Linked DNA regions of Rattus norvegicus. The protein of the gene in region 1 purifies or fractionates together with the protein of each later gene. This does not show direct contact. Links are inferred from orthologs where the notes say so. Each region holds a gene or a part of one and is shown on either strand. Other genes may lie near its edges. The genes, in order: Vamp5 and Stx12.

Region 1 (16,434 bases):
CTCACAGGTTCCTACCCTTACCCATCCATCCACCCTGGATTTCAGCACCTCAGCTTCTTCTCTGTTACCCCCAAACTGGGAGCTTCCCAGATCCCCACCTTCCCGCAAAGCAGACACTTTGCTCACCTGCTCCAAGATGGCATCTACCCAATGTTCACCTTTCCTGTGGCTTCTTACTGACCCCAAGAAGTACCAAAGACCAGGGAGCCAGGCAGGAAAACAATCTGCTCCACAGAACTAGGAAGCTCATCGGAGACCAGATCACATCCGAGTCTGCCTAGAAGCCCTTGCAAACTGAGCGGCTCAATGCCCTCCCTCTTTGGACCTCTGACCAGTCAGGCCAGTTCTGCCTCTGAGCTAACCTGCTCTCCACCTCAGTGACCACCTTCTAGTTCCTCTCCTCCTGACAACCTCAGATCCTCTAGCCTGTGGCCTCCAGCCTTCTAGTCAGTCAGCTTCACTGGATTCCAGAGTCTTCAATAGGATCCAACTGACAGTCTGGCTTCTGGACCTGAGCAGTACAGCTTCACCTAACCAAGAAACCCAGTTTGTTTCAAAGGGTTGGGAGGAGATGGGAACAAGTTTCAACCTGGGGGAGGTGAAAGGGAAAGAAAGGGAGGGGGGCAGAGGGAAAGAGGGTGGGGCACCCCTCCTCCCCTGCTATGTGCTAAGACCATGAGCAGGTCTATTCAGGAAGATGAATACCAGAGGATTAGCAAACCACAACTCCCTTCCCTCAGCCTCATCCTTTCTAGCCCATCCCTATGCTGTCTCCTTTGCACAGACAGTCAACCACTACCCTGCCTGCCTTTCCTGCCGGCCCATATCTCCAATTGTTTGCAGCAGACAGTCTGGCACTTGACAGAATTCCACTTAAAACCGGAGAATTTCTGTTGGAAGGGACCTGGTAGTCACAGAGGATTGCTTCCTATTCAGGCAAGAATCCTCACCCAGCATCTCTGCAGCTGCCTTGTGCACAGCCTCAGAGCATTCCCGGTGCATGAGTCCTGTCTGGATAAAAAGGTCCCAGGGGGAGGGCAGAGGGCAGTGCCATCCTCCAGCACCCAGAAGCCTGGGAGGCCAACACAATGCTGATCCCTACAAGGACTAATAAAGGGGCCAGTTGCCTCATTGCCTATCCAAAAGGAACTCTGTGTCTCAAGAGAGGTTCTCCTGGTTTGCTTATCTAGCCCAGCAAGGGTTTCAAGGGACAGGCATCTGAAACCCAAACAGGTCAATATTTACCCAAGAGCTAGAAAAACAGCCTGTTTTAAGTGTGGGGCAAGCAAACCAAGGAGACAGAGGGTGTTCAGATGCTGGGACACAGGGCAGCAGAGAAGAGAACTCATGCTTCCTCCCATTCCTGAGTCACTGTGGTGACTGTATTGTTGGACAAGGCGCCATTGTTTGAACTTCCCCACTCTAAAGTACAGACTTGGGAATGGACAAAGACTTAGTCACAGGAACCACCACTAGAGGTTGGTGGTATTCCGAGGGTAACTCTGCTCCTTATTATTGTAGGGGGACACAACTGTGGAGGCCAGAGGACAACTTTGTAGAGTCAGCTCTTGCCTTCCACTTTTACAATGGATTCTGAGGATTGAACTCAGGTCAGCAGGCTTGTGTGTAGAGCGCTTTACCATTGAGCCATCTCGCTGGCCTCTGTCTGACTGTGTGTGTGTGTGTGTGTGTGTGTGTGTGTGTGTACAGTGTATGAGTGTGAAGTGCACGTAAACATGTGCCTGCTAGGACACCTGTCTGCAATGCACCCAGAGGCCAAGGGATGATGCCAGGTGCCCTGCTCTAGCACCATCTACCTTAATCCCCTTGAGAGCTGGTCTCTCACTGAACCTGGAAGAGTCTGGCAGCTAGAAAGCCCCACCAACATTCCTGTCTCTTTTCCTGTTCCCCAGGCACTAAGGTTATAGGTGTGTACAGCTATGCCCAGCTTTTAAGATGGATTCTGGACATGTGACCTCATGTTCTCCTGTGTCAGTGACAAGTGCAGAAAACTACTAAGCCATCACCCCAGCAACTTCCTCCTTAACCTCCTCTCTCTCTCTCTCTCTCTCTCTCTCTCTCTCTCTCTCTCTCTGACAAGATCTTGTATAGCCCAGGTTAACCTCCAAAATGACCTTGAACTTCTGATCTTATTACCCAGGACTAGTATTACAGCTACCACACCCCGTTTATGTGGTGCTAGTGATCAAAGCCCAGGGTTCCATTCATGCCTAGGTAAGCATTCTACCTTCTGAACTACATCTCTAGCTCTGGCTTTCTGTTCTGGATGCTACAGCTCCTGTTATCTGATACCAGTATAAGAGTCACATCCAATGGAGAGTGGCTGTGCCTCTAGCAGCAGTCTTTAGCCTTTTCCCTCTGCAGAGAAGCCAGGCCTATTGCCTATTGGGAGCTAAGATGGGCTCCCGGGAACACAGCTACCAGATCCCAGCCCACATTGGCCCTCCTCAACCAGAGGGAAAAGAACCCTGACTATGTATACAGTTTTTTGCTGGCAGTGTAAAAAATAAATTGCTAGGGTAAGTTTTAGGGAAGAGCTGAGCAAACAGAGGGCAAGGGCCGTGCTGCTCTCAGCCAGGGCCTGGCATCTGGCAGACACATGACATTTTCTGAATGAGTCGTCCCTGTTTTCAGGGAGCTGAGGAAAAGAAGCACGTGATACCATCAGAGGAGAATTACAGAGACATAAAGTACCCTAGCCACCCACGAAGTGAACAGATTATAAGGGTCAGAGAATTGAAATCAAAAGGGCAGGAGTTGGGATGGAGCTGAGCCATTCTGCAGAGCCAGGGACACAGCCCACTAGGGAAGGGACAGGGCAGAAGGTGGAGAGGTTGGGTGGGACTAGGGAAAGCAGTGGAAGTCAAGGGTAGAAACTAATTCAGAGGAAGTGATAAAAGCCAACCAAGCCAGGTGAGGCGGCATGCAGCTCTGAGTTCCAGGCCAGCCTGGGTCTCAAAATGCACTAGGTGTGGCAGACACCTGTAATCCCAACATTCCACAGGCAGAGGCCAGAGGGTCAGAGAAAATCAAGTCCATCTTCGGTCTGACCTACAGGAGACCATCTCAAGGTCAGTGGGTCATGAGAGTGCTTGCTGAATATTCATAAGCTCCTGAGTTCAGATCCCAAGAGCCCGTGTAAAAGCCAGTCGTGGCTGCACACCCCAAAACCCCAGCTCCGGGAGAGCAGAGACAGGATCATTGGATCTTACTGGCTGCCATTCTGGCTCTGGGTTTGGTGAGAAACCTAGTCTCAAGGGAATTTGGCAGAGTGATAGAGCAAGGTCACAAACACACACACACACACACACACACACACACAAAAGATACACATGAGTGAACAGAAGTGAGAAGTTCAACCGGAGGCCAGCCAATGGGGAGAAGCCATGCATTGGCAAGGGTATGAGGCGATGCCACAGGGTCAGGAAAGCACCCAGGGTAAAGAGGAAGGGGTGTGGGGGAGAGCAGTATTTCTGAGACCTGCCAGAATCCAGCAGGACTTGGGGGTTTGAGCCAAAGGGAGGTAGAGGGGAGTAGTTTCCAGATATCGGGTGGTAATTACACAGGGAATGTTCTTGTCAGACTGGTACTATCTGTACAGACTATCCCCCTGCAACACATGTGCACCCCACACACAGCCCACGCTAAGGGAATAAACCCAGGCCCACAAAACACGACGTGCAGGGCAGTTGTTCTGACACCGAGCGGCACACCCGACCCTCTAGAGCCCCTTTCTGGATTTTCTGGGCTCGTCTGAAAACACACTCTCAATCCTCTGTGTGGCGCTAGACATGCTCAGTGACAGAGCACTTGCCTAGTGTGTGTGGTTATAGGTTCCACTGCTAACATCACACACACACACACACACACACACACACACACACACACACACACAAAAGGAAAGAAAAGAAAAGAAAAAAGAAAGAAGATACCCTGGGGTTGGGGGTTTAGCTCAGTGGTAGAGCGCTTGCCTAGGAAGCGCAAGGCCCTGGGTTCGGTCCCCAGCTCCGAAAAAAAGAACCAAATAAATAAATAAATAAATAAATAAAATAAAATAACCAAAAAAAAAAAAAAAAAAAAAAAGAAGATACCCTTCTTGTTGCTGAGGCAGGAGGAACGATTTAGACCTTCAATTCCAGCAACATATTGCAACTCAGAAGTCCCAATTCCAGGGAATTCAATATAGAGACCAGCTAGGCTGCTTGAACTCACAGATATCTCCTTGCCTCTGCCGGAGACCATGTCATTAAAATCAAGAAGTAGGGTGTGGTCGTGCTTGCACAGAACCCTGGTACATGGGGAGGGCAGAGCACATGACACGATAGAGGAAGATTCCCAGAGCCCACACGCTCACGCCCATGTGAAAACCGAGTGTGCTGGAGAGGACTTGTAACTTTGATGCTCGAAGCGTTGCTTGGGCCGTGGGAGACAGGAGGACCCCCGAACCTGCAGAAGGATGAGTTCTGGCTTCAGCTAGCAAGACCCTATCCCCCCAAAACAAGGTGTGCTGCCTCAGATTCCGCCTCCGCCACTTTCCAGCAAGTAACGGACACTGAGAATGGGACCTCTCTGACCAGTCACTTCCTCTTTGGTAAAGTTGTGGTGATAACCGTGCTTACCTCATAAACCTCATCATCCTAGCTCAGATTATGTGACACGATATAAACAAAAGCCTTAACAACGCCTCACCTGACTGAATGCTGAATAAATGACATCAGTTAGTACTAATGTAGACCGAATTTTCATCTCCTTTTCTTTATATTAAAGACCTATTTATTTGTTTGTTTATTTAGTTTGCTTTCGAGACAGGGCTTCTTTGTGTAGCCCTGCTTGTCCTGGACATCTCTCTGTAAACCAGGCTGGCCTCAGAGATCTGCCTGCCTCTGCCTCCCCAGCGCTGGAATTAAAGGCGTGCGCCATCACCTCCCAGCTGACTCTTTTTTAAATATGTGAAATTTTTTAGATGTATTTTCTTTACCTGAATGAGTGTTTTCCCTATGCGAGTGTATGTGCACAATGTGTGTGCCTGGAATTACGGATTATTGTGGGCCACCATGTGGGTTCTGGGAATCAAATCCAGGTCTTCTGGGGGAACAGTCATCTCTTCAGTCCTAAGATTTATCTTTAAATAAAAAAAAAAAAAAAGTATAGGGGCTGGAGAGATGGCTCAGTGGTTAGGCGCACTGGCTGCTCTTCCAGAGGACCTTGGTTTCTTTCCCAGCATCCACATGATGGCTCTTCACCATCTGTAACTGCAGTTCCAGGAGAGCTGACAACCTATGCTGGCTCTTCAGGCACCTACCATGGGAATCGCCCAAAATGACTACAGAAGCCTGGATGCAGGGCCTCTGTAGGAACAGCAACTACTTCTAACTAAGCCATCTCTGTAGCCCATGGGTTTTTTCCTTTTTTCTTTTTGAGACAGATCTAAGGTAGTCCTATTCAAGGCTGGCCTTGAACTCACTACATAGCTTAATATAAACTTGAACCCCCCCAAAAAAATAAATAAAAAAAAACCTTGAACCCCCAAACTTCCTGCTCTACCTCCCAAGTGCTGGGAGGACAGATGTACACCATCATATACACTTGGTTCCTCCAACTTCTCTTTTTTTTTTTCTCAAGATTTATTTTTATTTTATGGGAATGGGCATGGCTGTTTTGTCTGTGTGTGTATCTGTGCACCAGCTGCATACAGGATCTGAGGAAGCCAGAAAAAAGGTGTCCAACCCTCTGGAACTGGAGTTTCAGACAGCTGTTTGCTGCCATGTGTGTTCTGGGAATCAAACCTGGGGTCCCTATAAGAGTAGCCAATTTTTTTTAAGATTTATTTTATTATGAGTAATTTGCTTTATGTGAATATGTTTTCCCTGTGCATGTGTATGTGTACAATGTGTGTGCCTGGTGCCCAAGAAAGTCAGGAGAGGCAGTCAGACTTCCTTCCCCCAAATTTACATGTTGAAAAAAAGTCATCTGGGCAGTGATGGTGAAAACCTTTAATCCCAGAGGAGGAGATCTCTGAAGCCAGCCTGGTCTACAGCTAGTAAATTTGCTTGCATGTTGGTATGTGCACCATATGTATGCCTGAGGAAGTCAGAGCACCCAGGGTCCCTTGGAACTGGGGATTGGAGTTAGGGGTGGTTGTGAGCCACCATGTGGGTGCTGGGATTCTGACTCAGGTTCTCTGTAGTAGCATCAAATGCTCTTAACCAGTGAGCCACTGCTTCAGCCAACCCCACCACCCCCTGCTTATGAAGAAGTGTTGGGGACCTTATAAGGATATCGCAGGTGCGGATGTAAGTTCCTCAAGAGAGTCATCTTTTTCTTTCTTATGAGATCCACAACCAGCCAAAGCCTCACTGTTGCACACTTATGCTTTACTTGTTTCTTATTTTCGAGAGGAGCTGTCTGTAGATCTTTGAGAACCAGCCTCTAGCCCAGTGGGTCTCAACCTCCCTATTGCCAAGACCCTTTAATACAGTTCCCCACATTGTGGTGACCCCGAAGCATAAAATTGTTCTTGTTGCTACTTCATAACTCTAATGTTGCTACTGTCATGAATCACAATGTGAATACTTTTGGAGATAGAGGTTTGCCAAAGGGGTGGAGGACCACAGGTTGAGAACCAGTGCTGTAGCCCAGTCTCTGCTGTCTTCATCAGGTGCTACAGGCTCTTGAGATCTTTGTTTATTTGTGTGGTACTGGGATTCGAACCTAGGAATTCCCATACTGCAGCCCTTTCAGAAATTTTAATTCTTTAAAAAGAATCATGAAACAGACTCTCAATAAATTGTACAGTCTGGCCTGGGTCTTGGGGGTCCTCCTGCCTTTGCCCCCAAGGGTTGGGATTATGGGCCTTAAGTGTTGGACAACAGTAACAGCTACCTTTCAGTGGGCACAGGACCTGAGCCAGCACTGAGCTGGCAGTGCATGTGGGTGTCTGGCTAAACCTTCATAATAACCCACTGAAGAAAGTATTATCATTGTCCTTGCATAACAGCCCAGGGGCGTTAAGTTGCCCAGGGTAAGTAGGCAACCTGAGGGTAGAATGGACAGAGATACCAAGGGTCACATGTCTAACCCCTGTGCTAAACCAGACGCACAGAAAGCGTGAGGTCTGATGCCCCTGATGATTGGCTAAGGAGTACTAGCCCCTTGATGCTGCCAACTAAGCTTGTGTTCAAAGGAGAGAGGCCTGGGACTAAATGCACAAGTTCTGCCAGACGAATGACTCCAAGAACCATTTTAGGCTGAGTGTAGTCATGGACCTATTTAATCCCAGTACTCAGTAGGTAGAGTTCGAGGCCAGTCAGGTCTATAGAGTATCTAGCGGGACCTTGTCTAAAAAAATATTATTCTATTTCTGAACATGGTGTCAAATACTAGCACCTGGAAGGCAGAGGCAGGAGCATTGCTGCAACTTCAAGGCAGGTTATACAGCAAGACTACCTCAAAAAAAAAAAAAAGTTAATTCCATTCAGACATGGCGGCTCAGCTACATAGCGAGTTCCACATCAATCTGATCTACATGAGACCATGTCCCCCCAAAAGCAAACAAGCAAGCTAAATACTTTTTAGTTATTTACGGTGGGGCTAGAGAGATGGCTTAGCATTTAAGAGCACTTGCTGCTTTTCTTTTCTTTTTTTTTTTTTTTAAGATTTTATTTTATTGTATGAGTACACTGTAGCTGCCTTCAGACACACCAGAAGAGGGCATCAGATCTCATTACAGATGGTTGTGAGCCACCATGTGGTTGCTGGGATTTGAACTCAGGACCTCAGGAAGAGCAGTCGGTGCTCTTAACCACTGAGCCATCTCTCCAGCCCCACTTGCTGCTTTTCTAGAAGATCTTGGTTCCTAGCACCCACTTGGTAGCTCACAGCCACCCGAAATTCCAGTAGGAGGTGACCCAACACCCTCTTCTGGCCTCCACAGGCACTGCCGGCACAGGACACACACACGGACATGCAGGGAAAACACATTCATACACATGAATAAAATCTTTTAAAGCTTTTGGGGACCAGAGTCTGAATCCCTAGCAGCCACATGAAAGCCAGGCAGTCTGCTTGTAAGCCTGGGGCTCAGGGGCAGAAATGGGGGGGGGCTGATCCCGGGGACAAGTCAGCTAGTTAGACTAGACAAACTGGTGAGCTCCAGGTTGAACCAGAAACCATCTCCAAAAATAAAGTGGAGAACAGCTAAATAAGACACCTGACAGCAACCTCTGACTTCCATACATACCTACACATGTATGTGCCTACACATACCTAAACACATGTGTGCCCATACATACCTAAACACATATGTGCCCATACATGTGAACAAGCATGCCCACAGTATTTGCAAAAAAAGATGATTGCTGATTTCCATCCCCCCGTCACTGCTTTGTCCTACTCCAGGGGCACAAAAAAAAAAAAAAAAAAAAAACCCTGGATATTAATTTTAAAAAGTCCTTTTGACTGAATGAGTCCCAGGGAAGAGAAGGGAAGGGAAGGGAAGGGAAATTGGGGGTGGGGGTGGGTATAGATGGTAGTCAGAGGGGTGGGATGACGGAAGAAAGAGCTGGAGACAGAAAAGGGGACGGGGGTGGGGAGAAAAGATAGATGATAGAGCCGGAGACAGGCTGAAGGAATAAAGCATGCACCCCCCAGGCTCTGAACCCCCTTTGCCTGGAGTGTACCTATAGACATCCCAAGGGTCTCCTGAACAGCCAGATAAACGTAACCTGGCTCAGCCTTCTTTCCAGAACTTCTCCCCTAGAGCTTAAAGCCAGCTGATGGACCATCCCGTACCTCCTCCCATCTTGCCCGGCACTCTCGGAAGTGGGCTCTCAGCTCCAGCCATTCTCAGAGCTTCCCTCAGTTTCCTGGTGTGGCCTCAAAGCTCAGGGCTACCTTCCTGCCACACTTCCCTTTCCTGCCTCCAGTTCCCCAGAGATGAGGCCATCCAGGCATTGCCACCTCTAGCCAGGTCACATCCATTCAGTACTAAACTTGCTCCCAGTCTGGCGTCTTCCCAGGCGCCCTGGAAGGTGGGATCCAGGCACCAGTGGTCCCTGACACTTTTGGAAATGACAAGTCTGCAGCAAGAGTGTAGGTGACTCAACTCATGATTATGTTACTAGGCAGAGGTCAGGAAGAAGTCAGCCTGTGTCCCTCTAATAACTTCATGGAACTTTTATAGTAAACAACTTATTTTTTCTTTCCCCGGGGCAAGTGTTTATCCTTCAGCACCGGGCCTCTACCAGGCATGTGCTCAGGTTTCCAACCCTTGGGCCAGTTCTGGCTCCTCTTAGCCTGGGGAATTGCTGGAGAGGTCATCACATTACCTACCACTTCTCAGCAAAGGGTTCTGAGTGCCTGGCAGCAGCGACCATAAACATCTACTTTAACCTCTCAAGGACCCACCAAGGTAGGTATTGCTGCCCCTACTTCACTGCGCGGAAAAGGAGACTGGTGGAGGTTAAGTGACTTGCCCGGTATTGTCGGAGCTGATAACTGCTTCAGGAGCGTGAGAAGCTGCAGCTCCGCTCACTCCGCCCCGACGGGGCGCACTCTGGAGTCTCCCTCCCAGGCTGCCTGCAAAGTTGGGGACTGATTCTTGTGGTCAGCGTGACCCACGCCCCTGGAGTTCGGCTCTGGCTTTATGCCCCTGCACAATCGCCCTCTGCCCCTTCCCATCTCACCATCGCCTCCGCAGCTGCCGCCGCTGCCTGATCGCGGGCTCCGGCTCCTCTGCCTCGCGCTGCCTCAGTGCCCGCGGCCGCAGAGGAAGCGGCGGGGCGGGGCGGACCGGCGGTCCAAGAGGGAGGGGGGCGCGCCTTCTCAGAGGTGCCGGGCCCGGACAAACCGAAAGTAGTGACAGGGCCGGTGGGGCGCCTCCTACCGGGTCACCGGCGTCCGACTTCCGATGACACCCCAGCCCGGTTGGGGAACGATGTCTCTTGGATCTGGAGGGCTGCAACAGGAGTTCCGTCATTCCATCATGTGGAAAGCATTCGTGAGTGCTTGAGTGCTAAGTGCAGGAGATGACATGAACAAGCCAGGAGGAGTGTTTGCCACCTTGGTGAGTGCTGCTCACCCGAAATTAAAAGCACACCAACCACCCCAAAGTTCTGATTGTTTTCAGACAGAGCAGGTAGTACATTCTATGTCACCGAGTTATACACTTAAAAATGATAAGCTAGGGGCCAATGAGATGACTTAAGTCACGTGATGTCAAACCTAATGATTATAGAGTTCCGTCCCTAGGACTAACAGTGTGGAAAGAACCAACTCCTCAATTTGTCCTCTGATCTCCATACATTAGGGGATGGAGATTTTTTTCAGCGCTAAAATTGCTGCCGGCGTTTCTGTGAGCTAAAAGTCTCAATGGTGTGTGGATGGACAAGCCATTAAAGCTGTTGGGATGGACTCCAGCCCCAAATAAAAGGTGACAGCAGCAGCCAGGCCAAGCTTTGAACCAATCGAGGCAGAAGAGGCAAAGGAGGAGATTTGAGCCAGCTTCCAAAGTGGTACCCAAGCAGAGACCATTCCTTCTGTACGAGAATAAAATACAGACAACTACACAGGTGTCCCGAAGAGTTCCACAGTGAGTTTGGGAGAGAGTTGGAGAGCAAGCTGCTACAAGGGAAACAAACAGAGGTTGTCCAGCCTGAGAACACATACTTTCTCTTAGATTTCTGATGCCAGCCTTACTGGATGGTCCTCTAACATTCGAGGAAGATGGAGTTTTTGAATAAGAGATGCTGAGGATACTGCAGCTTTCCTTGCAGAACTGGGAACTGAGAAGTCCTTCCCTTAATCTCACTGGCCCATCCCAGCCTCCAGACAACTTCAAGGTTAAAATGAGGTTGTTTTTAAAGAATTGTGCAGAAGGTGCAATCAGAAAGTCTAAAGATCTATAAAGGATACACGGTGCTCTGAATCTCACAAAATGCTCACAGAGGGATATATTATACGATACTGTTTTATGTGCTTAATCAAAGACGAAAATGTGAGACTGCAGAAATGGCTCAGCAGTTAAGAGCCCTGGATGCTCCCCCAGAGGTCTGAGATTTAATTGCCAGCCCCCCCCCCCCATGTCAGCTCATTACAGCCTGTAACCCTAGCTCCAAGGGATCCGATGCCATGTTCTGGCCTCTGAGGACACCTGTCACACATGTGGTGCGCAGTCACACATGCAGGGGAAACACCTTTACACATAAAATAAGAGCAATTTAAAGAACAAGTAATTAAGACTGAAGTTTTTTTTTTTTTTTGGTTCTTTTTTTCGGAGCTGGGGACCGAACCCAGGGCCTTGCGCTTCCTAGGCAAGCGCTCTACCACTGAGCTAAATCCTCAACCCCAAGACTGAAGTTTTAAGAGAAAAATTAAATTGTAAGTGTATGCTGGGGATGTGCTTGCCTATTTTGTACCAAGCTCTAGTTTTGCTCTCCAGCATCATATAAATGAGACTGGGTGGGAGATGCCTGAAATCCCAGCACTGGAGAGCCATCAAAAGTTCAATCACGACCTGCTATAATGAATGATGAATGTGAGAGTTTACACATGACAGCCTGCCTCAGAAAACAAAATAAAACAACAAAACAGAAAAGTGAGTTGGCACTGTACTGTAGCTTATGGTTGTGATCCTAACACTTAAGTAGAGGAGAACTGACTGAGTTTGAGACCAGCCTGGGCTACATAGTAAACTCCAGGACAGAGTAAGCTAGGCTACAAAGCTACAAAGTAAGACTTTGTCTCAAAACGCCCCCATCCCTGCTGCATGAATTTCACTCCAATGGAAAATGAAAGCAGCCTCTTACTGGAAGTGCTGGCTCTGGCTTTTCTCTGTTCTCAACTCTTCACTAGAAGCTTGTAGGCTTTTTCCTGTGCTGTGGAAGCTGGTGCACTTCTAGCATCGTGTAGCCTTCCTGAGCTGCTGTAGAGAAATAGCCAAAGCCATTTTCCACCTCCCCAGCCTTGACATCCTAAATGTGGCCTCTCTTAACCAAAATGCCAGGGACTTACTTTCCTGGGTTGAGCCACTGTGAGGATAGACCACTGGTTTCCATACTTGGACACATTACCTCAGAATGGGCAGAGGATAAAGAGGGTAGGGCCCACTCATATCAAAGCAGACCGAGGGGTTGGGGATTTAGCTCAGTGGTAGAGTGCTTGCCTAGCAAGCGCAAGGCCCTGGGTTCGGTCCCCAGCTCCGGGAAAAAAAAAAAAAAAAGCAGACCAAGAGGGACTGTTTGGTACTTTCCCTGCCCTCTGTGGAGTCAGGAGCATGATTACAAAGTCTGGCCTCTATAGAGTCCTGAATTCTTCTCTTAACCCATCCCTTTTCTCACATTCTCCCAACAACAGGTTGTTTCTAATTCTGGAAAGGTTGTGTAGAACCAAGAACCACACCCCACACCCCTATACACACACACACACACACACACACACACACACACACACACACACACACCAAGGCAGACTGGGCCCTGGAAAGAACAGTAGTAATAAAGAACCTGGCGGGAAGGAGGAGTCCAGAAGACAGAAAGCTCATTGTGCTATAGGCCTGGTCCTGTGACACTGACTGTGACTAGCCATGAGACTCTGGGGGAGAGATGCTCACCCCCACTCTCTCAGAACAACTGAGATCCAGGGCTCTAAAAGACCCAGAAGAACAAGAGTAGACAAAAGACAAACAGAACACACAGAACAACCAGCAACTGATAAGCTGACTAGTGCCTTCAGCCTCTGGCTCTGAGTTAGACCTAGGTCATAGACTACACATGGTGGACTGGGTTAGACCTAGGTCATAGACTACACATGGTGGACTGGGTTATACCTAGGTCATAGACTACACATGGTGGACTGGGTTATACCTAGGTCATAGACTAGACATGGTGGACTGAGTTATACCTAGGTCATAGACTAGACATGGTGGACTGAGTTATACCTAGGTCATAGACTAGACATGGTGGACTGGGTTATACCTAGGTCATAGACTACACATGGTGGACTGAGTTATACCTAGGTCATAGACTAGACATGGTGGACTGGGTTATACCTAGGTCATAGACTAGACATGGTGGACTGGGTTATACCTAGGTCATAGACTAGACATGGTGGACTGAGTTATACCTAGGTCATAGACTAGACATGGTGGACTGGGTTATACCTAGGTCATAGACTAGACATGGTGGACTGGGTTATACCTAGGTCATAGACTAGACATGGTGGACTGAGTTATACCTAGGTCATAGACTAGACATGGTGGACTGAGTTATACCTAGGTCATAGATGAGACATGGCGGACTGAGTTATACCTAGGTCATAGACTAGACATGGCGGACTGGGTTATACCTAGGTCATAGACTAGACATGGTGGACTGAGTTATACCTAGGTCATAGACTAGACATGGTGGACTGGGTTATACCTAGGTCATAGACTACACATGGTGGACTGAGTTATACCTAGGTCATAGACTAGACATGGTGGACTGGGTTATACCTAGGTCATAGACTAGACATGGTGGACTGGGTTATACCTAGGTCATAGACTAGACATGGTGGACTGAGTTATACCTAGGTCATAGACTAGACATGGTGGACTGAGTTATACCTAGGTCATAGATGAGACATGGCGGACTGAGTTATACCTAGGTCATAGACTAGACATGGCGGACTGGGTTATACCTAGGTCATAGACTAGACATGGTGGACTGAGTTATACCTAGGTCATAGACTAGACATGGTGGACTGGGTTATACCTAGGTCATAGACTAGACATGGTGGACTGAGTTATACCTAGGTCATAGACTAGACATGGTGGACTGGGTTATACCTAGGTCATAGACTAGACATGGTGGACTGGGTTATACCTAGGTCATAGACTAGACATGGTGGACTGAGTTATACCTAGGTCATAGACTAGACATGGTGGACTGAGTTATACCTAGGTCATAGATGAGACATGGCGGACTGAGTTATACCTAGGTCATAGACTAGACATGGCGGACTGGGTTATACCTAGGTCATAGACTAGACATGGTGGACTGAGTTATACCTAGGTCATAGACTAGACATGGCGGACTGGGTTATACCTAGGTCATAGACTAGACATGGTGGACTGAGTTATACCTAGGTCATAGACTAGACATGGTGGACTGGGTTATACCTAGGTCATAGACTACACATGGTGGACTGGGTTATACCTAGGTCATAGACTAGACATGGTGGACTGGGTTATACCTAGGTCATAGACTAGACATGGTGGACTGGGTTATACCTAGGTCATAGACTAGACATGGTGGACTGAGTTATACCTAGGTCATAGACTAGACATGGTGGACTGAGTTATACCTAGGTCATAGATGAGACATGGCGGACTGAGTTATACCTAGGTCATAGACTAGACATGGCGGACTGGGTTATACCTAGGTCATAGACTAGACATGGTGGACTGAGTTATACCTAGGTCATAGACTAGACATGGTGGACTGGGTTATACCTAGGTCATAGACTAGACATGGTAGACTGAGTTATACCTAGGTCATAGACTAGACATGGTGGACTGAGTTATACCTAGGTCATAGACTACACATGGTGGACTGAGTTATACCTAGGTCATAGACTACACATGGTGGACTGGGTTATACCTAGGTCATAGACTACACATGGTGGACTGGGTTATACCTAGGTCATAGACTACACATGGTGGACTGAGTTATACCTAGGTCATAGATGAGACATGGTGGACTGGGTTATACCTAGGTCATAGACTAGACATGGTGGACTGAGTTATACCTAGGTCATAGACTAGACATGGTGGACTGAGTTATACCTAGGTCATAGACTAGACATGGCAGAAGTGACGAGAGGCCTTGGACCAGGTCTTAAATGGCCTATCATCGTATCTTTGTGAGCATGTCCAGGAGAATATTTAAGGGACCTGACAGGATCAAAGGAGGACACTGAATCCTGCATCCTACTTCCAAGTGTTATGGAGTTTCAATTCTCTTTATGGTAAGATCTCTGGGAAATCCTTGTTCTAGTGAAATGTGACAATGAACAGTGTGGTATGAAGAAAAACAGGAGGGCTCCGGAAAGGACTCAGTAGGGAAAGTGCTTGCTATGCAAGCATAGGGCTTGAGTTCAAAGCCCCAGTACCCAGGTAAAAGTTGGACGCATGTTTCTGTAATCAGCACTGTGGAGACAGGGGTTCCTGGAGCTCATTGGAAGCCAAACTGATGAGTTCCAGGCTTAGTGAGTGACCCTGCCTCAAAAAGTAGAGTGAGGGCTGGGCTAGAGCTGTAACTCAGAACAGACCGCTCTCTCACTCTGTAGGTTCAACAGTCAGGAAGAAAAAGACAGAGTCCACTAGGTAGTAAAACAGAGAGCAATAAAGACATCCAACGTTGACCTCTGGCCTCTGCACACATGCACACATAGGGACACAGGCACCAGCATTTGCCTACACAGATGTACATATACACATCTATACAAGAGGGAGGGGGAGAGATGGAAAGATGGCTCTTTGGTTAAGAGTGCAACAACATGGCTGCAGAAACAAGACCTGAACAAGGACATCGCCAGGCATGTTAGCACAGATGAGGAGGAGAAATCATTCTCCACAGATGAGATTCTTAACTGGCTATCAATACCAAGTGGTCAGCTCTGTAAGCACTTACATACAAGCAACACCAAACACAAAATCTGCAGGTGTGTGTGTGTGTGTGTGTGTGTGTGTGTGTGTGTGTAAAACAATAACAGTGAAAGAAAAAGAAGCCATGAATTTGAGAGGGAGCGAAGGGTGATGGGTTGAAGGGTGTTGGGAGAAGAAAGGAAAAGGGCAACACAGTATAATTATATTTTAATTAATAATAAACAAATTTAAACTTATACCTAAGGGGAAGGGGGAAGAGTGCCGTTCTTGCAGAGGACCCAGGTTTGGTTCCAAGTACCCAAGCCATGGCAGACTGGGTTATACCTAGGTCATAGACTAGACATGGTGGACTGAGTTATACCTAGGTCATAGACTAGACATGGTGGACTGGGTTATACCTAGGTCATAGACTAGACATGGTAGACTGGACTTGTAACTCCAGGGGTGTGGGATGATGTCACAGGTGAGACAGGCTTTGTATGTTTAAGTGGGCAATTATATCTTATGAATTGGATCTAAGATTACTGTGTTGTGTGTTCTTTTATGTGATGGTTTGAGTGTAGGAAAGTGTGTAGCGGCTGGAGACACTGGGCCGCCGAGGCGGAGTTGGGATGTGTTTCCACCAAGATATCTACCAGATATCTTGGGGCACCGTGGTGCAGTACCTAGCGAGGTAAAAGACAACCAGTACTTTTTTTATTTTTTATATTTTTACAACAACATAGGGGAACCAACATCGTCCTCTGGCCTCTGTAAGCTGTTCATTCACA
Region 2 (16,389 bases), on another chromosome or scaffold:
GAAGGGGAAAAGATAAACTGGGGCTATCTAAAGGTGCATCAGGGTGTGTAACTAGCGATTCATCCCATCCAAGAATTACACACTCTAGGAAGCTGTCGTGATCTGAGAGAATATGGAGACAGCCATAATCAGTTGTTTTCTGTGCACTTACAAATGACACAGAACTTTCCCCCCATTATTTGGTTTCCTTTGCTGAAATCATGTGAACTTACTAGTTAAGGACTTTAGGGAAGTCAGCTTGGGAGTTTGGAGTCATTTGCTTACTAAGCACTAGCATGAATGTAGCCTTCGTTGGCTCTTTCTATATTTCTGAACACCAAGAAGCTACAAGTTTCCATCTAGACTCATCAGACACCCTAAAATCCAATGCAAAAGGATGACAGGTTCTTTTATTTACCTGACACTAAGGCTTGCAGACTGCTTTTTGTAAGCACAGCATGAGGACCTGAGACTAATAACTAGGGACCACTAGCCCACACAGCTTACACCCAAGAGTTGCAACCTTCCCAAAATTAAAGCACAAAACAGAAACATTTACACAAAGATTTATTTTCACTTGAGTGTGCTTAAAATATTAAAATGATACATTTGAAAGATATTTTTATCAAAGTGAATTAAATTTAAAAGGACTTTCTGTCCACTTGATTAATGTGAACACTCCTTTTATTTAATTCTTAAAAATTTTATATGTATGAGTATTTTGCCTCCATGTATGTCTGTGCACCACTTGTGTGCTTAGTACCTGAGGAGACCAGAGGAACACACCAATCTCTTGGAAGTGAAGTCAGGGGTGGTTGTGAGTCACCATCTGAGTTCTGGGAATTGAACCCAGATCCTCTTAACCCCTCAGCCAACTCTTTTTTTTTTTTCCCCGGAGCTGGGGACCGAACCCAGCGCCTTGCGCTCGCTAGGCAAGCGCTCTACCACTGAGCTAAATCCCCAACCCTCAGCCAACTCTTTAAACCTGGACACTCCTTTTCCAAGAATTCTAGCAAATGAAAGTTTTATTTTGGGGGTGAGGAAAATGTGTGGGAGTGTGTGGGCAGTTAACAATCCTAGGGGTCATCCCTCAAGTGTCATACACCTTGGCTTGCCTTTGATTTCCAAGGATTCAATTGTCTCAGTCTGCCTGGCACTTGAAGTACGACATCTGGGTTCTGAAGATCAAACTCAGATCCTCAAATGAGCTATCTCCTCAGTCCACTTTGACTGACATGTTACTGTTAGGGATACAGTTCCAGTGGGAGATGCTTGCCAACCATATATGTGAAGCCCTGGGTTCAATCCCCAGCACATGAAGTAGATCAATACAACATTTTATAATATGATTTTGCACGTGTAGATCATCTGGGGAGTGAGCCAAGGATCTCACACATGCTAGGCATGTGCTCTACCACTGAACTACCTTCCCCACCCGTGGTAAAATACTCTAGATATGGACTGGAGAGGTGGTTCAGTGCTCTTCAGAGGACTCAGGTTCAATTCCCAACACCTACATGACAACTCATGACTGTCTTCAGGGCCATATACATACAGGCAAATGCTCATACACTTGAAATAAATTAAAAATATTTTACATAAAGACAATTGAGTACGTCCTATGAAATGCTACCTAATATTAGAAACTTTACATTTGGTTTAAACTTTACATTTGTCCTCCCATTTAAAAGTGTGTCCTGGCTAAAACTCTTCTTTAAAAAAAAAAAAATGAGGGGTTGGGGATTTAGCTCAGTGGTAGAGCGCTTGCCTAGGAAGTGCAAGGCCCTGGGTCCGGTCCCCAGCTCCGGAAAAAAAAGAAAAAAAAAAAAAGATGAATAATAATAAATCAATTATTGTACACCAGGAATAATTATAACTTGAACACTTCGTATCCACTTTTAACAGATATCAGCAAAATCTAAATACCCACTAACTACAGTCCAAACCTATTTAACCGCATTGAAAGTAGCTTCCATCACACAGATGGGACAAAAATTCTCTTGAGACAATCTAATGCTCTAATTCAATCCACTAAAAACATGTTGTTCTTGCAGAGGACCTGGATTTGGTTCCTAGCACACGTGTCTGCTCACAACCACCTGTAACTCCAGTTCCACCTGACTCCCATCTTCTGACCTATGAGGGTACCAGGCATGCATGCGGAACACATACCTACCCATAGGCACACACTCATAAACAAACATATTTAACGTAGAAAGCATTAGTTGTACTAAAACATAAAACAAGGCTATGTGTGGTGACACATGCCTTTAATTCCAGCACTCAAGAGGCAGAGGCAGGCAAAACTCTATGAGTTCCCAGCCAACCAAGAATACATAGTGAAAACCTGTCTCCAAAACACACACACACACACACACACACACACACACACACACACACACACACACAGACACACACACACACGCGCACACACAAAACAAAAACAAAAAAACAAACCCTATGAATGATTGAATGAATAAATAAATAAGAGAGAAAGAAAGACAGAAAGTAAAGAAAATACGCAGACCTAAATCCTGATCTTCTTGCCTCAGCCTCTTTTTTTTTTTTTTTTCTTTTTTTCGGAGCTGGGGACCGAACCCAGGGCCTTGTGCTTGCTAGGCAAGTGCTCTACCACTGAGCTAACTCCCCAGCCCCCTGACTGTGCCTCTTAAGTGACAGAATCACAGGCATGGAGCAGCGTGACAGCAAGACAGCCTATGCTTGATTCTTGGTTCCAGCACTTCCTAGCTGAGTGATCTAGAGTAAAACGATGACACTCTTCTGTCCTGTTTCCTCACCTAAGAAGTGGGAGTAACAAGGGACACTTCCTTTGGTTGATGTGAGGATGAAATAAGATGATATGGGCTAAGTTTAGAATGCTGTCTGCCACATAAAAGCACTCAGCTAAGGACGGCTATTATTATCAAACTCAAGACCAAGAAGAATGAATGTACTTAGCAACGATAAAAATCAATTAAGTACATACTAAATGCCAACATTCCACTGCTGTGCCAGGCACTGTCCAAAGAGAAGTGTGTCATGCCTAGTCCTTCATCCCACCAAACTAGTACTGCTCTAGGGACAAGGTCAAAAAGCTTGGCTTAATTAAGGAATATAGAATTTAAGTAGGTATTAAACTGTGAGAAAAATTGGCTTGTTATGTTTAATCAAAAAGAACCAAATGACAGAAAACATGTTTTGTGTATTCACTCAGTAGGGGGCAGGTACTGTTTGCCTTTTTAAGACAGGGTCTCACATAGCCAAGCCAGTCTCAAACTTGCTATGTAGCTGAGGCTGGCCTTGAACTCCAGCCTCCTGCCTCCACTTCCCAAGGGTGAGAATTACAGGAACCCGCTTTGTAGCAGGCACTGTCTTAGCATTTCACGCAAATTATCTCAGTTCTCAGAACTCTATGAAATAATTATAACCATAGATGAGGAGACAGCAGGAGAGGTAAAGCAAAATTCACCGAAACATTACAAAACTACCAAGAAGCTGAGGGAAAATCTAAACTCAGTTAACAAACCTCGAAAAGTTCAAAGATCTTAGCTTTTCAGTTAATAATGTAGAGACTGGTATAGGCACATCCCTTTAGTCCCACCACTCTAGAGGCTGAGGCAGGTGGATCTCTATGAGTTCCTGACCAGTCTGGTTTCATAGCCAGGTTCAGGCTAGCCAGAACTACACAGTGAGATCCTGTCTCGAAAAACAAAAAAGCACTCAGGAGGCAGAGTCTGAAGCTAGCCTGGTCTATCTACAGAGCAAGTTCCATGACAGCCAGGGCTACAGAGACACCTTGTCTCAAAACACAAAATAAACCAAGCCAAACAAACAAAATGACAGGGAAACCTCATCCCCTCAAATTAACTGAAAACAATTAGTAAGCTTTCATGTGCCCTGACCCCGGCTACCACTCTGGTGTCTTTTCCTTCTTTACTCCCTGCCTTTCATCCAGCCACGCCTGCCTCCTTGCTACTCTTTGTCCCCTGAAAGTCCTTGCATTTGCCCTCAGCACACACTGCCTTTCTCCACCACTCACAAAGCTCCCTCCATTCTGGTATCTGCTGATTCAGGCATCATCCTACCCAGGCAGTGGTGGTGCAGGTCTTTAATCCCAGCATTTAGGAGGCAGAGGCAAGTGGATCTCTGAGTTTGACGACAGCCTGGTCTACAGAGCAAGTTCCAGGACAGCCAGGGCTACACAGAGAACCCTGTCTTAGAAAAAATAAATCATCTCCTGAGAGAGGCTGTCCTCACCAGGGGATGGTAATTCTCCCTTCCCTCCATGCACTTAGCCTGCTCCATTTCCTTCGCACCACCTGCTATGACTTGATATTATTGGTAAATGCATGCAAACATCCACACGATGTCATGCAGAAGTTCGTTCTCTGCTCCTTACCAGTGAACATCAGTGCTCAAAGAATGGTCGCTGCACCCTGAGTGAAAGAACCCATCATATGCTTGGGACAGAGGTAAACAGCAGAAAAACAAAGATGAATGAACCATGTTTCCTACCTCAAACAGCTAACAATCTAGCAGAGAAGATGAGTATATTACAAAGAAAAAACAAAAAGAAATGAAAAACACACATTCAGCTAGGCAATTCTTTCTTTTTTTTCTTTTTTAAAGATTTTATTTTATGTGAGTACACTGTCTTCAGAAGAGGGCATCGGATCCCATTACAGATGGTTGTGAGCCACCATGTGATTGCTGGGAATTGAACTCAGGACCTCTGGAAGAGCAGTCAGTGCTCTTAACCACTGAGCCATCTCTCCAGCCCCAGCTAGGCAATTCTTTAACTTTTCTCAGCCTGTTTCCTACCTCATAACCTAGGAATATTTGTAATTACTCTACAGGGCTGTTACCGGTTAGGATATTACATGTAAAGCACTTTGCATATGGCCTAGCACACTATGTACTTAAACAGCAGCTAGTAACATTATTAATTATTGACTCTAAGGATCCAATGCCTAATCAGCACTAAATCAGTATCTATCACCAAGAAAACCACTCCTATTCCCCACCATCACCTTTCTTCGTTGTTTTGCTTTAAGACTCACTCTATAGCTCAGGCTGGCTTTGAACCCATGGAAACTGTCTTGCCTTGGTCTCCTGAGAGCCAGGGTTACAGACCTGACTCATCACACCTAGGCTTTGGTTTTAAACCCCTTCTCTGTTCCTCCTTCCTCTTATCCCTTTTTCCTTTTGAAAAGAGACTCAGATGTGGCCCAGGATGGCCTTGAACACACTAGTCAGTCTAGATTTGCCTCTAAGTAATGATAATCCTCCTGCTTCGGCCTCTCAAATGCTATTGTGTGCCAACTATGCCCAGTTTCAACTCTAAATTTTGATTTAAGTGAACACAGACTTGTGATTAAAAGAATCTGTATCAGTTCCTAAGCTTACTATACAACTTAATGCTCAGATATGAAATACCCACAGATAGACATTCAAACTAGGTTAGTGTCAATGAGAAAACTCCAGTCTTGAGAAAACACAATTTTTCTTTCTTTCTCCCTCACACCCCCTTTTTTTTTCTTCTTTCTGGTGGTTCAAAACAAGGTTCCTCTGTATAGCCCTGGCTGTCCTGGAACGCTACCAACAGGCTAGCCTCTGACACTCAGAGATCTGCCTGCCTCTACCTCTCAAGTGCTGGAATGAAAGGTCTGCCCCACCAACACCTTGCACAAAATTCTCTTTAAAATTTTTTTATTATTATTGTATTATGATATGTGGAATATACACACAAATTAATATAAACACACACTCTATGTGCCAGGGAACGAGTATGGATGAGTGTGGAGGTCAGAGGACAGTTCTGTGGAGTCAATTTGCTCCTTCCACGTTATCTGGGTTCTGGGGCTCAAATCAGGTTGTTAGGCCTTCGCAGCAAGCACTTTACCTAAGCCATCTTGCCAGCCCCTTGAATAAGAAATTTCTGATTTAACCTGTATTACAGCTCCAAAATAAAAGGAAACTGGGACACAAAGTACCATACTGTCTGTCTAGTCATCAATAGTATTATTGTGTTTTTAATATCTGGGTTGACAAGCTGACTATCCTTCCTACCTCCAAATCTAACCCTTCCCACCTGAAATCATCTACCTCTCAAATTCTACAGTATACATTTAGATTTAAAAGCAAAGTAACAAGCTGGGTGTGGTGGTGCACATTATTAATTCCAGCACTTGGGAGGCAGGTGGATCTCTCATTTTGAAGCCAGCCTGGTCTACAGGATGAGTTGCAGGGCAGTCAGAGCTATCGAAAAACTGTTTCAAAAATTAAAGTAAAAGCAAAGTGATAGCTTATGTTTTAAAGTTTAGGACATAATTGTAATTTAGAACTGACTCTACCTATTAACAGAGTATAGCTAAGCTCACAAAAAAACACAATGATAAACCCCATAGATGGTTGTCACTATTTTAAAAGTAAAATTGCTTCTGTTGTTCTGTTTACAAGGCTCTGGGCCGATTCTGAGGCTCAAAAAACCACTTTACACTTTAATGGTGAGAAGGGAGTTTTAAGGTAAGCAGTTACAAACTGACTTTGTACCAGGCAGAAAATGAAATCTTCATGTTTTGAAATTTTAAAAACGTCTTTGCTACAAAAGACAACCTAAACTAAAATGTTCCCGGTGCATTCTCCGCCATAAAACAGGAGTCCCTCCCCCCTTAAATACCAGTCATTGACTGATTTCCAGATTAATTACCAGGAAGCACAGTGTGTTAAATCACCCAAAATGCACGCATTCTCCACTTCCCTTAATTGAAAGTTGCTGATGTCCGAGGACCCAACCGCCGAGCAGAATGTGAACCTAAAGTCGCAACCAGTAAGCACCCCCCTGATCCGAACTGAGGAAAACAAGGTGGGTGGGGAGACGGGGACGACTGGAAAAACTCGGCTGACCACTGCGCCATGTCAACCCTGTGCTCACAGTCCTAGAGATGACACACACTCTCTCCCACCCTCTGGCTGTCGGCTCTGTTGACCCCCAGCACCGTCAACTCACAACCCCGAAGACAGGGGTGTGGACCTAAAGGGCCCGAGCCTGACCGACCCGGGAGAAGGCAGCTCGCCGCGCCGGGAGTGGAGGCTCGCGGCTGCCTCAGGTTTGGCCGTAGCTGAGGCCCCGATCCGGCTCCGCGTCTTAGCAGCTTCACCCAGGCCTGTCCCTGAGGCCGCACCCCCGCTCCCGGCTGGGTCCCCTCGCTCACTGGCTTGGCTGATCCGCTGGATGTTGCCACTGCATGTCTGGATGATGCTGTTGAAGTCACGGGGCTGAGGCCCCGACGGCCCGGGATTCCGATACATGTCTAAGGGACCGTAGGACATGACACGGAGCAGAGACCGGGGTCGCGCTTCACGGCGCTCCTACCGGAAGCTGCCACTGACCGGGCCCAGTAGCTGAGAGGAAAACCGGGAAGAGAGAGGGCGGGGAAGGGGCCGTGACTGCGTACACACTGACCCCGCCCATTGCGGTGCGCATGCGCACGCCCCGCCCCATCCCGCAGTGCGCGTGTGCTGCTGGAACTGACGGTAGGTAGTGTCTTGAGAGTTTTCAAACTGCTGGGAGTAAGCGTTCTCGCAAGACTGGACACCTCTAGCTATGCAGCCAACTCAGGACCTGACTTCTTACCCCAGTCTCCTACAGACGGCGTGCCCCGCGCTCAACAACCTGCCTGCCACCAACATGCTCGTCCGCATCCTGCTGCTCGGCGCAGCACTGCTGCTCAGCCACCCTGCAAATTCTCGCTTTTTCAACCCATGGCAAAACAGAGGTGAATGCACGAGCATGGGATTGGACCAGTACAATTCTGTTGTACCCGACAGAATTCGATGGTGAAAACTGTTCAACACCTACATTTCTAACAAGAATGAAGTTACTACCGAAACCAACCGCCAACACGGTGTACTCCGTGCTTACCCACTTCAAGGGATTCTGGAACATTGTCAATATCATTTCCTAACTTTGAGGCCATTCTGGTATACAGGCCATTCTGTGAGTTCCAGGACAGCTAAGGTGACACAGAGAAACCCTGTCTCGAAACACACACACACACACACACACACACACACACACAAAACCAACAAATAAAAAACATTCCCTTCCTGCGGAATTCAGTCATGAGATATATTGCCAGTTAGATCGCATTTGGCTGACAGCCCACCAACTTAAAATGTGCACCACACCGACGAAAACTGGGCTGCCTTCCCCAGCCTCTCCTACTACATCAAAGCCCCTCCTCCTGTGACAGATAACTAACTGCTTGACTCCCGACTCCGACTCTGGATGTGTAAAAGGGAAGAAGAGACTTTCTGATTCAAAAGGTTATGGGAAAAGTTCTAAGAAAAAAATTCATTCCTGATCCCCGAGGCATGAATATGATTTTGCATTCTTCTCCCAGTATTTCAAGACAGACCAGAGACTTACATTCGCCAGAGGATTGGGCCACGGAGTTGCCATAAGCCATGTTTTTGGTGAAACTCCAGATAGACACCATAAACTGCTCCTTTCCTTTTATTTTAATTATTTTTATGCTCAGCGGTGTTTTGCCTATGTGAGGGTGTCAGAAGCCCTGGAATTGGGGTTACAGACAGCTGTGAGCTGCTGTGTGGTTGCTGGGAATTGAGCCTGTGTCCTTTGGAAGAGCAGCCAGTGTTCTTGACTGTTCAACCATCTCTCCAGCCCCAAACTTTGCCTTTTCAAGGATGAAAAATTGAAGTGTCAGGTAATTGATGAAAAGGTATATTCTTTCATCAGAGAGATCAGGGACACTCAGGTGGAGGCAAGCTACCCACATCACACCCCAAACACCTGCAGTTAGCTGCGGGGGGCGAGAGATCTTGGGTCTGACAACTGGTCACATGGTATAAGCTACAATATGAACCAGCCCCACAAATCCCACGGAAGCCTTACTAATCATTTGAGGAGCTCAGGAGAAAAAGAGGCGGCTAAGTTGGAAGCTTTCTGTGGTGACATCGATCCTGTCCTCTCCTGCTGTTAGAAAAGCCTCTTCCAGATGCTGTCTCTGGGGAGACCCTAGTTGAAATCGAGGCACCATTCTCCTTGGAAGGGCTTACATCTAATCTTATCTGTTCTCACTACTAGAAGCCAAGCACGTTTGGGGAAGTAGGTTTTAAGATCACCAATGCTGCCTCAATTCAGTGTCTCAACTTCAGTAACATGAAGGTCCCTTCATTCAATGTTCAGGGCTTCCCCAGACAACCGCCATGATTAGTACAAGTGCTTTGACTCCAGATAAATAGTGACTTAAGTATCAGATCTCTCCAGGTTTGGAACATGCTAGACAGGACAATGAAGTGAAATAGGAGATGCCTTTGGACAAGTTTTCCTACCCATGTTGTATCTCCCCAAAGTCCAGGTCATCATGCAAGAAATTTTGATTTACATTAAATTGTGCCAGATTACCCCAACCGTTACTTCCTTTTCTGCTCTATTCTGAGAACCCAGGCTCAAATATAGGCAAATTAAGCAACCTTGACGTTCAGATCTATAGCCGATTGGTGAGTTTTAAGGGTTTCAAAGTACTTTTATTTCTCCCTCCTCTCTTTTTTTTAAATATTTATTTTTTTATTTATTGTATTATGTGAGTATACTGTTGCTGTCTTCAGACACACCAGAAGGGCACATCGGATCCCATTACAAATGGTTGTGAGCCACCGCGTGGTTGCTGGGAATTGAACTCAGGACCTCTAGAGGAGCAGTCAGTGCTCTTAACCGCTGAACTGTCTCTCCAGCCCCTCTCCCTCCTAATTACTCAATAAAGTAACAATCATATTTTGGGGGCACATACTATGTGTGAATTCTCATTTTAAGTTGCTGGTTTTATAAACACTTTACAGCAAGGAAAGCATCCCCATTTTTATCTTTAAATGTATTTTGTTTGGTTTGAATTTTTGTTTGTTTTTCAAGACAGCGTTTTTCTGTATAACCCTGGCTGTCCTGGAACTTACTTTGTAGACCAAGCTGGCCTCGAACTCAAAGACCTGCGTACCTCTCTGCATCTGCCTCCCAAGTGCTGGGATTAAAAGCAATGGCATCTTGGCTGGACAGTGTGGCACACAGCCTTAATCTCAGCACCTGGAAGGCAGAGGCAGGCAGATCTCTGAATTCAAGACCAACTACACAGTAAGTTCTGGGCCATCAAGGAATACACGGTGAGACCCTGTTTCAAACAAAAACAATGGAGCCAGGAATGGTAGTGCAAGCCTTTAAGGCAGGCAGATCTCAGAGTTCCAGGCCAGCCTGGCCTTCAAAGTAAGTTCCAGAACAGCCAGGGCTACACAAAGAAACTCTGCCTTGAACGCCCCCCCCCAAAAAAAAACCCCAAATGAGGGCCAAGGAGATGGGGTATTAGGTAAGAGCCTTTGTTCTACACAAAGAGCCTGAATTCGAATCCCTGAAGCAGCCAGGTAAAGAGCTGAATGCCATGGCTGGAGAGATAGCTTAGCCGTCAAGAGTGAGATCCTTGCAGATGACCTGAGTTGGTTGATTCCCAGAACCCTTAGGTTGGTTCACGACTGACTGTAACTCTAAGATCTGATGCCCTCTCCTGGCCTCTTCAGGCACTGAGTATACCCATGGCGCATATACATACATGTAGGCAAAAACACTCATGTACATAAAATAAATAAATCTAAAAAAAAAAAAAAAAAAAGGCTGGACATTGTCGCCCAGGCCTGCAAGTAGACATTAAGGAACAGATAGACGTGGGTCCCCAGAGTTCACTACTCAGCCAGCTTAGTCAAAGATCAGTGGGAGAGCCTGTCTCAAGGCATTAATGCGAAGACCAAAAAAAGAAGAAATTCTCCATCTTCTGAGTGTGCACACACAGGGTCATGCACTTGCGTATATATGTGCATGCACCATTCACACACACAGCAACACACACACACACACACACACACACACACACACAAACTAATACCTCCTTATGATTCACAGTTTTATGTTAAAGCCTATGTTTTACTGCACAGATTTAACAGATTAGATTCCCCACATGAGGCCCTAAAATGTATCAGTTTGAATGCATTCGTAAACACTGGGTCACTAATAATACACTGATGTCACATTAAGGACGGAAATCAAACACTTCCCCTTTGTGTCCTTTAGCCAAGAGTGAGCGGCGGAGGCTGAATTCTCTACTTCACTCGCCCTGTGTCTTCCATTGTCCGTCGCAAAGGGCTGCCTGCTGCCCTGTGTCTCCGAACAGCCCAGAAAGCATGGGAGAAGGAATGAGGGACACTTTGTCCAAATGCCACTGCCGTAATTTATGGTGGATTCTCACTTTCTAAGGCTTTCGGCCTCTTTCCTGTTTTCAGCTAAAGATTACCAGCACGCACATGCACTACTCTATGTGAAGGGCATGGGAGGACACGAAACATAGGATTGCACTTACATATTAGCTTGGGCAGTAAATGTGGATTGTGTAGGAAATCCAGGGCAAATAAGGCCGGTTTTTTTTTTTTTTTTTTTATTTTGCAACTTGTATTTTGGTCTCTTATACACTAGGATAGCACTTTGAAGTCTTTTTTAATATTTATTTTTATTTATTTATTTATTTTTAAGATTTATTTATTATAGATGAGTACACTGTAGCTGTCTTCAGACACACCAGAAGAGGACATCAGATCCCATTACAGATGGTTGTGAGCCACCATATGGTTGCTGGGAATTGAACTCAAGACCTCTGGAAGGGCAGTCAGTGCTCCTAACCGCTGAGCCCTGTTATTGTTTATCAAGACAGAGTCTCACTCTGTAGCCCCTGGCTGGCCTGGAACTCACAGAGATCCAGCTGCCTCTGCCTCCCAAATGCTGGTGTGATGACAAATAAATAAAGTTTAAAACCCTCCATTTTCTGTTAGGCGCCCATCTTGGTACTCGCTAGCCATTTATGGATGACTTCAAGTTCTGGAAGATAGTTCCCAATGACTCTGACTCAATAAAGCCACTGTGCTGGCTGGTTTTGTGAGTTAACTTGACACAAGCTAGAGTCATCAGAGAGGAAGGAACCTCCCCTGAGGAAATGTCTCCATGAGATTCAGCCATAAGGCATTTTTCTCAATTAGTGATCAGCGGGGGAGGGCCATCCCTGGGCTGGTGGTTCTGGGTTCTGTAAGAAGGAAGGCTGAGGGGCTGGGGATTTAGCTCAGTGGTAGAGCGCTTGCCTAGGAAGCGCAAGGCCCTGAGTTCGGTCCCCAGCTCCGAAAAAAAGAACCAAAAAAAAAAAAAGAAATCCTAACTAAGACACACACACACACACACACACACACACACACACACACACATACACACACACACACACAGAAATGTAAAGCCACGACCATGTATTTACTTGTTACACTTTTTACAGCAGTTTGACTGTTTTCTGCTTTTTTGTCTTCTTTTAACCTGCTTGTGCAGATATCCAGGTCATCTTGACAACTTAATCTAGGCAGAGCAAAACAGCTCCTGGCTTGCCTGTGCCAATGCTCAAGCTCCTTTTGCTGGTTTCCCTTTAAAAATTCTCTCAGGGCTGGAGAGGTAGTTCATTGGTTAAGAGTATTGACTGCTAGGCTGGAGAGACGGCTCAGTGGTTAGAGCACTGACTGCTCTTCCAGAGTTCTGAGTTCAATCCCCAGCACCTACATGGTGGCTCACAACCATCTATAATGAGATCTGATGCCCTTTTCTGGTGTGTCTGTAGAGAATGACAGTGTACTCACATACATTAAATATAAAATTCTTTTTTTTTTTTTTTCGGGGCTGGGGACCGAACCCAGGACCTTGCGCTTCCTAGGCAAGCGCTTTACCACTGAGCCAAATCCCCAACCCATTTTTTTTTTAATTTCTTAAAAAATAATTCTTCCCTCACCGCCTTCTCACAGCGATCTCAAGTCTGGCTTAGAGGTTGTTGCCCTGCTAGCAATAATTAATAAACCTTTTAGTTGATTGAGTCTATGGTCTTTTCCCAGGAGTGAGGAAAACCAAAACACTGAGGTTCAAGGCATGCTCCTCTACAATAGGCAGCACTGACTGTAACAGTAGCAGTTAGCAACTGTAATACCATAACAGTATTATTAACTTTAGCCGAGAGGCCCAGCAAAGGTTCCAGTCCCTGAGCATGAATTAGATATTTTTATCATAATGTAGTGCCACAGTACAGCATATTACAATAAACTATATTTTTTTCTCTTTTAGTTTCATGTGTGTGTGTGTAGGTGGGTGGGTAGGTGCACATGTGTCTTCCTGTGCGTGGGTACACTTGTGTGCAACTTTAATTTTTGCAAACTTTATTTTTAATGTTGGTTCTTAAATGCTTTAACCTCCGTCCACCAGAGACAGGCAGCTGCAGCTCGATCCACTCACAAACACTTCATGGATACCCCAGCAGTCCAGCTTGGTTGCGTTGGAATATCAAACAGGAATCAGTAGCAATGACATGACCTAGCAGAGACAGCCAAGCCTCAACCTCGGCTCCAGTCAGCAGGAAGGGCCAGGAGGAATGTCAAGAGAAGCTCTCGGCTCTGCCTCTCTCAGGGAAGTGAAGATCGTTGAAGACTTGAGACCCACAAGCGTCACACAGCTAGCTGTACCAGCAAGCCAGGCTCCATCTCCATCACTCTAGGGCTCTGTGGAGTCCTATTTATACTCCTGTATCACGTGTCCTCACATGCCTTACCTCAGCATGGGTCTTGCCTCACAACACGTTATTCCAGTCAGCTAGAGTCCTCGGAGTTCCAACAAATGCATGTAAGGCTGACCAATGCATTGTTGGCAATACGTGTCCTTCATCATGTGTCCTTTCATGTGTTTGCTTTAGCAGAACACTCTCTCTCCTGTGTCTACTTCAGTGAAGCATTCCTTCACGAGTCTGCCTTAGTCTTTCACCTGCGTCCACCTGAGGAAAACGCTCCTTCATGTGTTGGTCCCAGCGAAACACCGTCCAACACAACTGATTCTCCAAAGAGCCCTCAGGTTCCCACATCACTTGTGTATTCCTGGGTGTGAAAGCCCAAAGCTGATGCCAGGAATCACCCTCACTCTCCCTTCTACCTTATTCATTGAGGCAGAGTCTCTCCCTCAAACCCAGAATTTCCTGTGGGGATCCTGTCTCCATTGTCACAGGCTGGAGTATTGGTGGATGAGCATTTCTGAGGATTGAAACTCCACACATCACTCTTGCAAGGCAAGCTGTTTAACCACCGAGCCATCTCCCTAGGGCCCTAAATTGCACTTTAAAAAAAAGATTTATTTATTTATATATATGAATACACTGTCACTGTCTTACTGTCTTCAGGCACACCCCGGAAGAGGGCATCGGATCCCATTACAGATGGTTGTGAGCCACCATGTGGTTGCTGGGAATTGAACTCAGGACCTCTGGAAGAGCAGTCAGTGCTCCTAACCGCTGAGCCATCTCTCCAACCCTGAACTTTTTTTTTTTTTTTAAAAATGGATTTATTTATTATATAGGAGTACACTGTAGCTGTCTTCAGACACACCAGGAGCACGCATCAGATCTTATTACAGATGGTTGTGAGCCACCATGTGGTTGCTGGGAATTGAACTCAGGACCTCTGGAAGAGCAGTCAGTGCTCTTAACCACTGAGCCATTTCTCCAGCCCCCTGAACTTTTTTTTTAACCTGTAAAAAAGCCTTACCTTTTTTTTTAATTTTTGATACTATTTAAACCAAAACTCTGTGAAAGTCATTTTCTCCCAGAAATGAAAAATACGTTAGTGCTTCTTTCTGCATCACCTATGCGTCTCTCACAGAAACACAACTGCCCCTTGCAAATGCTAAATACTCAATATTTATTGTATGAATACATGAGGGATGTGGTTCCAAGCTTAGACCTTGTCTCACAGTGGGATTTAGCAGCTGACATAAGGTCTAGATGTCCCAAGGTCCTCCTGCGAGGTACTCCTCCAAGGGGATACCTACCTACTTGTTCAGAATCACCTCCAGTCTTGTGGAGTCCCAGATCTATGGAGAACATTCTGAACAAGTTTCAGAATAGTGAGGATAAGGGCAGAACCAGAGATCTGCAGAGCACATCAAGTTCCTGACAAGATCCTAGAGCAAGAATCCAGAAAAGGGCTGGAGAGACGGCTCAGTGGTTAACAGCACCCGACTACTCTTCCAGAGGTCCTGAGTTCAATTCCCAGCAACCACATGGTGGCTCACAACCATCTGTAATGAGATCTGATGCCCTCTTCTGGTGTGTCTGAAGACAGCAAGTAAGAGTGTGCTCATATAAATTTAAAAAAAAAATCCAGATAAAACAACTTTCCCGGGGCTGGAGAGATGGCTCAGTGGTTAACAGCACTGGCTGCTCTTCCTGAAGACCCCAGGTTTACTTCCCAGCACCCACGTAGAGGTTTACAATAGTCTATAACTCTAGTTGTAAGGGGATCTGATGCCCTCTTCTGGCCTCCGAGGGGCACCAGGCATACTCATGGTGCACAGATATACACATAGGCAAAATACACACACACACACACACACACACACACACACACACACACACACACACCACACACAGAGCCTGCTGAAGAAGCTTTAGCACAAACAAGGCAGCAAAAGACCGTGACTCTAACCTCATCCCACATAGCATCAGTGACTTTCTGTAGCTCAGCTTAAGGGCTACTTAGAAAGTCTACCTAAGGTCACCATTTCTACATGGCCATGCATGCTTTCCCGTGGTAAGAGAATATGTGCTTTCAGCTGGGCGCGATGCTGCAAGCCCATAGTCTCAACTCTCAGGAAGGGCGGCAGGAAAGGCACAAGTTCAAGTGGGCCTCTGCTAAAGAGTGAATTACAGACCAACTCTTGAAGAGGACCCAGGTTCAATTCCCAGAGTCCGCATGGTGGCTCACAACCATCTCTAACTCTAATTTCAGGGGATCCAAAGCTGAGTTCTGAGAGCACCAGGCCCCACTGGTGGTGCACAGATAGACATGCAGGCAAATACTCACACAAATCATGAAGTTAACTTTAGAACAAACAGGCGTGGTGGAGCATGCCCGCAATCCCAACACTCCTGAGGTAGAGGAGGCAAGAGGAAGGTCAGAAACTCTCCAGGTCATCTTTGGTTATGTGGCAAGGTCACAGTGAGTCTGAGCTGTATAAAACTCTGTCTCAAAGAAAAAAGAATGAGCCAGAAAGATGGCTGGCTCAGTGGTTAAGAGCACTGACTGCCCTTCCTAAAGGTCCTGAGTTCAATTCCCGGCAACCACAGGGTGGTTTACAACCATCTGAAATGGGATCTGATGCCCTCTTCTGGTGTGTCTGAAGACAGCTACAGTGTACTCACATACAGAAAATAAATCTTAAAAACTTTTTTGAAAAAATTCTAAAAAATAAAGAAAAAAGAACTGATATATAAGCTCAGTGGTAAAGCACTT

Evidence for each region.
Region 2: the proteins of Vamp5 (region 1) and Stx12 purify together in Homo sapiens (affinity purification with mass spectrometry; 3 studies listed by BioGRID and IntAct, with this or other methods). This does not show direct contact. The link is inferred for Rattus norvegicus from reciprocal best matches to the Homo sapiens genes VAMP5 and STX12.

Annotation. Positions count from the first base shown.
Region 1 is NC_086022.1:105,983,428-105,999,861, forward strand, and holds the start of Vamp5 (vesicle-associated membrane protein 5), read right to left. Parts: upstream 9,821-16,434; 5' UTR 9,708-9,820; coding exon 9,705-9,707; intron 1-9,704. UniProt on the Homo sapiens protein: May participate in trafficking events that are associated with myogenesis, such as myoblast fusion and/or GLUT4 trafficking.
Region 2 is NC_086023.1:150,368,958-150,385,346, forward strand, and holds the start of Stx12 (syntaxin-12), read right to left. Parts: upstream 7,390-16,389; 5' UTR 7,312-7,389; coding exon 7,194-7,311; intron 1-7,193. UniProt on the Homo sapiens protein: SNARE promoting fusion of transport vesicles with target membranes. Together with SNARE STX6, promotes movement of vesicles from endosomes to the cell membrane, and may therefore function in the endocytic recycling pathway.